Linked DNA regions of Mus musculus. The protein of the gene in region 1 purifies or fractionates together with the protein of each later gene. This does not show direct contact. Links are inferred from orthologs where the notes say so. Each region holds a gene or a part of one and is shown on either strand. Other genes may lie near its edges.

Region 1 (4,572 bases):
TGGTGACACACGCCTTTAATCATCCTACCACTCAGAAGACAGAGGCAAGCAGATCTCTGTGAGTTCCAAGCCACCAGCCTAGTCTATATAATGAGTTTCAGGATAGCCAGGGCTACACAGTAAGACCCTGCCTCAAAAATACAAAAGGAAACAAACAAAAAAAAAACCAAAAGGAGAGAGAGGGAGGAGGAGGAGGAGGAGGAAGAGGAGGAAGAAGAGGAAGAAGAGGAAAAGAAGAAGAATCATCATCATCCCCTGAAAGCAACCGGATAATTCCATCATTCCAAAACTCTATCTGCACGTCCTAGAAATGAAAGACACTTTAGATAAGGTGGCTAAAGTATTCCTTCCCACAAATGAGATCACACATGAATTTTTAAATCCAAAACTGAAAACAATTTGGTTCCTTCCACTAGGAACCTACCTCCTTATAGTCCCCATTTCTGTTGAGTCGATAGCCCTCAGGAGTGTGGAGCTGCAGGGTTGTACTATTGATCACTTCCACACAGCATTCTTGGTCAGGAAAGCTCAGGGGGCGAACCCTACAGTACACCTGGAAAAAGAAAGAGGTGTTCAAACAAGGTTGACTTTTTGCCTGATTTTTCTTTTTGGCTTTTCTGTTTGTTTCGTTTGTTGAGACACAAGTTCTCAGTCTGTAGGCCAAGGTGGACTGGAGCTCTCAGCAATCTGCCTGCTAGTCTCCAGGATGCTGGGACTCTAGGCAAGCACCTCTGTGAATGTTCAGCACACACTTGACTTTCCATTTAAGTTCTGTTTATTCGCCTACAAACATAAATTCCTGAGTCACAAAAAACAAATCTACAGCTCAGAATGATCAAATGCAAAGGTGCATTAAATCAAAATAAGTTTAGGTTAAAATATTAAACTGAACCGTAATCTCTTCACTGTTGTGCACAAATAAAATTGCAACAACATAAAAATCTCTCTGAATAGCTGAAAAAGCCATTAAATTCTTTAGAGTTGGGTGTTATTTCCAACAGCCAGCTCAGGTGGGCATGGTAGCTCACTTTGTAATCACAGCATCTGGAGGGTAGAGGACCTCATTTGGGGAAACCCTGTATAGCTGTGTTCACAGCAGGTGGTACAGTTGGGAGCCAGAGACCCTCTGCAGTGGCAGTGGGGGGATGGAGGGGATATTCAGAAACTTCTTTTCAGGAAGAGGTACTAACTAAATCCAGTTATTCTGCACTAGTCTCTATGAACTTTGAGTACGTGTCAGTTACCACACACAGGTGGGAGAGGGCTAAGACTTGAGGAAAAAGTCCCCACCCATCCCCACCCCAAAGAGTAGAACCTGCTGGGAGAGACCATTTAACCTTTCAAATCTAATTAGTGATAGTAGGTTTGCAGTCAACAACTAAAGAGTCCCTTTACAGAAAGCAAACTTCCCAGCTAAACCCAGCTTTATACAATTCAGTGCATCGGTTTAACTGCGTGCTCTTTAACCCGACTTTCATATTGCTTTCCTCCCCTTTCAAGCACACACATACAAGAAGTGGACTAAAGAAAGAAAATACACACACACACACACACACACACACACACCTTACCCCCACTGGATCTTTAAGGTTTGTCTGAGATCCTTTTTTTATTACAGGTTTTCTGACCGTCTTAGCCTTCCTGGTTAAAAAGAGAAAAAAAAGCCATAAATTCAACACTAACATAGAAGACATCACAAATTCTAACAATGAACTTCCTAAGGCTTAAAAAAATCATTTCCCAGCAATCTCAAATACCGCACAGCAAATAACATGTATATAAACAATAAACTGTACTCGAGAAATGTGGTATATGTAATTTAACTCATTAAAATTTCAATTGGGAAAATACACTTTTGATACCATTAGTACTCAGTGGAACTTTTGTTTGTATTTTTTTTAAGTGTTGGAGTGCAAATTCAGAGATTTGCTCATGCTATGTAGGAAGATTAGATTATTCACAATGCTGAAATGTCTTGCTATTTTAAGTAAACAATATAAAAAATTATTTTATTTCAACATTCTCTATCATTTAACTTTTTTTTCCTTTCTCGTTTATAGGCTACAAGAATATTTAACACAAATTAAACCAAAAGACTCGTTTAGACTGTAGATTATTAAAGTACTTTTCTCAATAGAGTCACACGTAAACTAGAAGCAAACCAGAGTCCAGCGATATACTAGGGTAGGTATCCTTAAGTAAATATAAAGACTGACGTTTCCTCATTTTAAAAAGTTCCGTTTTTTTTTTTTTTCGTGTGTGTGCGTGTGAAAGTAACGATTTCTAAAGCCAGCCCTCCTTCGCAGTAAAAGTGTAACCAGGATGTGGCTCTCCTGAAGAGTCTAGGAATACTGAGGAATGTGGGCGTGGGAGATAGAGTAGGCGTGTGGGATGGCCTGGGGACAAAGATAGCGCAAGGTGGCGGAGCTGCAGAAGGACCCTGACCTCAAGGCTAGAACTAGGGAAGGGATGCCGACGGAGCTGTGGAGGCTCAACTCCCCCAAAGTGCCAGCGCGCACCCCGGCTGCGCGCCGCCCGGGGTCCCCAGACCTGCCACCTGCGCAGCGGGCGGGGAGGAAGGAAGCTGGGGAGGGATGGGCAGCCCAAAGGATGGCAACCCGAGGAGGTGGTGGCAGACAGCCCCGGATTCGGAGGCAGCCTTCGCGGGCTCAGAGGACTGGGAGGGCGCCGGCACACCAGGGTCGCCAGCCACCAGAACTCTGCAGTGCGGAGCTTCGGCCTACACTGTACTACGGACTCAGCTCCCGGGCAGTCCCCAGTCTCAGCGTGAGGAGGGCGGCGACCCCCACGCAGTCCTCCCACCAGTACTCACGCTGACTTCATGACCGCAGGCTCCGTGCTATCCTGACGCGCGCGCGGGACGTCGGGCTCCGACAGGAGCAAGGCTGGCGGGAACTAAGCCGAGCAAACCACGGCCGCGGGGACCAGGACTCAATCTGAGGAGAGCCCGGCGGCGACGCTGCAAGCCCAAGTGTGCGCCCGCCCGGCGCATTTCAAACAGGCCAATCAGCGGCCGCCTGCGGCGAAGGGGCGGGGCCTCGGGGAGCGCTGGCACGGCCAGCAGGGGCGCTCGTCTCCTTGGCAACCCAAGGGCGCCAGCCGGAGGCTGAGGAGGGCAGCGCTGGAGAAAAACCTGAGAGGGGAAATCCCGGCCCTTCCGCCCTTCCGTTCTGACGCAGAAGCTGAGATCTCCCAGTCTTTGTCCTGAGAACCTCTAAGGAAGTAAAGCCTTGGTCGGGCATGTTCTAATTTCAGGCTGGCCGCTGGCTACCACATCATCTTATTCATTTTATTGTATTTATATTTTATTTTTACCTTTACTTTTAGTTCTACGTTTACATTTTATCTTACTTTTGATATTTATTTTGAGACGAGAGTATCTTGTATCCCAGGCTGGCCTCACACTTACAGTGAGGACCCCAGAATGATCTTGAAGACTATACCAACTTGGCAGACAACCTGTTGTAAGTTCCTTTCTCTGGATTCTCCAGTTCTCTCTCTCTCTCTCTCTCTCTCTCTCTCTCTCTCTCTGTGTGTGTGTGTGTGTGTGTGTGTGTGTGTGTGTGTGTGTGTGTTTCATGGTGCTAGTGATCAAACCTAGAGCCTCACAATGTTAGGCAAAGGTGATACCACTAAGCCACACATCCTTAACCTTCAAATTCTTGATTTTGATGTTTCCTGGATATACAGAGATGCATAAAATCTACCCACTGCCCTTGTGCAACCACCGTTTACCCTTTGCCTTCTACAAGTTGATTCTTTCTCATTTAATCCCAGCCCCCATGCTGACGATTCCCCAGGGATGTAGCCACACCTGCGTTCTGTGACTCAAGCTCCACTTAGAACTTCCTTTAGGGCCAGCACTGATAAGGATAGCCAGTTTAATATCCATAGTTAATGTCCATATTACTGGACATTAGTCTTTCCAATATTTACTGTTGCAAACTGCTTCGATGAATAAACCTGAAAATGCATCCATGGATAAATTTCCAGAAGCAGATAGAAAGCTACCAGGCTTTGCCACCATCACTTTCCAAAACCGATCCATTTGACTGCACTCTCACCTATAAGTCACAGGTCTGGGAGAGCCCTAGGGTGGGTCATCGCCCTTTGCTTGAGACCCTCAGTGGGGCCCTGAGGCTAGTCTTCCTGTTCAGTTGCGTCACCTCTCACCTGTCCCAAGCCCAACGCTCATGCGTGGAACGTTTCTGCCCCCACACTCGAGTCTCTCTGCTGTCTCTCAGCCTTCCTTTCCTCGGAGAATGCCTCACCTTCTCTGGATCCCAGAGCCCCTGCCGCCCCTCACTGCACCGTTGATTTCAGCATCACCCCACGCGGTGCCCGGCCCCTGTTTACGGAGTCCTCTCCCAGCGTATCCTCTTCAGCCTCGCTAGATGGCACTGTTGCACGCTCGGTGCTTACCACTATGGGCATGGCCCTAAGCGTTGAAAGCGGTGGAGGCTCTCACTGAAGGACACTGGAGGGGCTCTCCCATGCTCCATCTGTAGCTTTGACTCATGCTGGGTTTTCTCTCTCTTGCTCCTGTCCATC
Region 2 (3,470 bases), on another chromosome or scaffold:
ATATGGGGACCCCCACTCTAGTCCAGGGACAGGATGCACCCACTAACACAAGAATCCTTCTTGATGCAAGACACATGAGGCTTTATTGGCAGAGCTCTGGGCCAACATGTACCTCACACAGGAGGCAGGGAAGTCAACACTGGGGCTCGGAAGCTAGGGGTTTTTAATAGAAGCAAAGGGTTAGGGGTAAGAGGAATTTTAGCAAAGGTACTGGATTGGCTCATTAAAATATTAACAGAAAGATTATATGTCAGCAAAAAGGGGCATCAGGACTTTGTTCCGGTGGGCTTGGGGCTTATCTTTGTTCACATAACAACCAGTTGATGTATGACTTTACCCGGCGCCAAGGGGTAATAGACAGAAGGGAGGTTCCGGCCAGATGGTGTTGACTCAGACAAGATAGCCCTGCTTGTCCTCGGATTGAGGGGAGGTTCCGGCCAGATGGTGTTGACTCAGATAATATAGCCCTGTTTGTCCTTGCATACCTTTCCATCTTTACTGTCAAGATGTTCTTAGGAATGCCTTAACAACAGCCTTGCCCTGGCATGCCTGGGCCTGTTCTGCTTTGTTCTCAGCCCCAGGCCAGGGCCGCTGGCTCCTAGACAACTCACAAGTTACAATATTTCATCTTCCTTCACTACATCTACAGTCATATTTTATGTTTTTTGTGGCTTTCTTACAAAGGTGTGCTTTGTATGTAATACATATAGATAGAAATAAATCCACATTTCACACAAGCTTAATCAAGTACACTTTATATAATACACAGCCATGAAGCAAATGAAGCAAAGTATATAAGCAGCATACTTAAGACATGTTCAAAATACAGTATTTTGTGAGTATTGATATTATTGTAGCTAGTAAAGAAATGTGCCAAAACTCCCTTTGCCATTCCACTTAAACTGGTTCCCCATAATTTCAATAAACATCTCCTGTGACATTATGTTGTCATCAGCTTGTGTAATCCCAAGTTCACTCAGTCTTTTCTTCATCCGGCCTTTTTGCATGGAAATAGCAAGTAGTTCATTTATAATTTCACAGTTTCCCTTAGCTTGTTCATTAAAGTCAGCTGTGGCATAAGGCTCCATTTTGCTAGCCACACACTGAAGCATTTCTTCCAGATCTAATCCTTCAGTGACATCTGCCTCTTTATTTTTCTGAACCATATTGTCTGAGGAAACAAATTATAATGAAGTTAAACATACAGTTTAAACAAACAAGGAGATATTTCTAATACAGTCTTTTAGATTCAAGTATTTTCTGCCAAGAGTTTATAGAATTTCTTTACTATAAAAATCTCAATGAGTAGCTACTTAGATCTTCTTGCAAAGTTTCATTAATAGGGTCATTAATTTTAAACTTTGTTTACCTTCTTCATCCTAAAATCTCAGTCACTGGACAGATATGTTCCTAGATATTTACTATCTGCTAAGCTATGTACTGGGAGCTAGTTGTTAAACTCACAATCTACTAGCTAGTTCCCATCCTCAAGAGTTGTACTCTCAGCCAGGCGTGGTGGCGCATGCCTTTAATCCCAGCACTTGGAAGGCAGAGGTAGGTGGATTTCTGAGTTTGAGGCCAGCCTGGTCTACAGAGTTCCAGGACAGCCAGGGCTACACAGCGAAACCCTGTCTTGTAAAACCAAATTAAAAAAAAAAAAAAAAAAAAGAAAGAAAAAAAGAGTTGTACTCTCATGCTGGTGGCCTGCCCTGGCCTCCTGGGGTTTGGAGTTGAGGTGGAACACAGAGTTGGATGATCTCCAGCTCTGTAACTCTGGGGGCTAGAAGCTGATGGCTTCTGCAAACTTAACACTCTCTTGCTTATTTTCTGGATGAAAACCACTGGCTTCCTTTTGCTCTAACTCTCTGTGCTTGAACAAGTGCTGGGCAATTATGAAAAGGATTTATTGCTAGTGCTTTTGTCTCTGGCCAGTCAGCTAAGAAGCCTCTCACTGGCCAGAAAGCTCATTACGTCTTTTTGAACCAGAGAGAGAAGAACGGAAAGGAAAAAAGCCACTCACACAGACAACACACACACCAGGTGAGGTGGAAACTAGTTACACCATCTGTCTTTATTACTTTCAGCTTTTTTTTTTTCATAGCTTTTTAGACAAAAAGTTCTCTATGTAAGAATTACCTCATAGATAAAATGTTACATGAAAGGGGAGTTACAGAGAAGTATTAATAATAAGTACAAAGCACTGTTTCACATTGTAAGCTCATTATAAGTTCAACGCAAAAGTCTTTACATGGCCTTGCCTTATCATAGTGCACACTTGTGGCTTCATCCTTGCACCTGAATGTTTTTGCTTTAACACAAATTTCTCCCAAGCATATATGGTTTTTTAGTGTAATTATAAAAGCTCATTGTATTGCTTATTATGTAGCTCTTACTTACTATTTATGAGAAGTGGGCATATTTCATTCTTGATTCTAATTTTATTACATATTTCTAGTAAAACAAATAAAACCATCTTAAAACTTTCTTCCTAAGATTATTTGAATCAAATCAGGAATTCTATCATTAATTCATCTAAACAGCAATTATGAAAGTTCGCCTTTATGTTGATCTGCAGGAAATCTGCTCAACAGTGGTAGGTTAATGCCCAGGAATCCTTAGGCTATATAATAGTGACAGGAAAGGTATAGCAGCTGCAAGAAGCAATCCTGAGATGAAGTGCCTAGGGACCTTGCCTCTCAGAGCTCACCCATGCAAAAATGGTGGGTCACCTTGAGAAAGGTCATCTGCTAGCCTTAGCCTTTCCTAGATAGCTCCTGACACTCTCATGATTGCTAAATGCAAAAATATTTTGTTATTATCTTCCAATGTTATTATTATCTTCTAATGTGATTAAGCCTATCTAGGCAAGTTTTTTGTTTTTGTTTTTCCTAGCTGGCTGCAGAAGATTCAAAGCATAAGCTTGAATCTGTGTATCTTAATCAATGGGGCTACAGAATGATTCCAGCCAAGCTTAGTCCTAAGATCTATACCACGGACTCTGCAGACGAATGACACGAGTAGCATTGGGTGTAGATTCGTCCTCCAGAGCTTAAAAGGTAAGGGCCTCTTCCACATGCATCTCAGCTGTTCTTTGTTCTGTCCTGACTGGAAGGGCTCCTGAAGGATGACAAGGCCTATTCTTCAAACCACTTCAAATTTCCACAGCCATACTAGTACTTTTTACTTCTTTAGGTCTTATATTTAAAAGTGATTTACACATCAGTGGCTTGAGATTTACAAATTTCCACTGTGTGTGCTTTCCTTTTCTGTCAGGAAAAGTGGTAACTGAGAGAAACTTTTCATTTACCAATGAAAAGTAAACGCAAAAGAAACTTCAAACTTAGAAAATTCATTTCTTACTTCTATCCTCCACAAATATCTACAGAAGTCATTTTGTTTTATACGCAAGAAGCCAAGAAGACTTACTGAACCACACTGAAGCTCCAAATGAACAGATCAACAAGCTAAAT

The links. The genes of interacting proteins can lie anywhere in the genome.
Region 2: the proteins of Kif23 (region 1) and Shcbp1 purify together in Homo sapiens (affinity purification with western blotting; 9 studies listed by BioGRID and IntAct, with this or other methods). This does not show direct contact. The link is inferred for Mus musculus from reciprocal best matches to the Homo sapiens genes KIF23 and SHCBP1.

The regions. Positions count from the first base shown.
Region 1 is NC_000075.6:61,943,779-61,948,350, forward strand, and holds the start of Kif23 (kinesin-like protein KIF23), read right to left. Parts: upstream 3,022-4,572; 5' UTR 2,845-3,021; coding exon 2,834-2,844; intron 1,642-2,833; coding exon 1,572-1,641; intron 554-1,571; coding exon 425-553; intron 1-424.
Region 2 is NC_000074.6:4,735,237-4,738,706, forward strand, and holds the end of Shcbp1 (SHC SH2 domain-binding protein 1), read right to left. Parts: intron 1,172-3,470; coding exon 858-1,171; 3' UTR 740-857; downstream 1-739. UniProt on the Homo sapiens protein: May play a role in signaling pathways governing cellular proliferation, cell growth and differentiation. May be a component of a novel signaling pathway downstream of Shc. Acts as a positive regulator of FGF signaling in neural progenitor cells.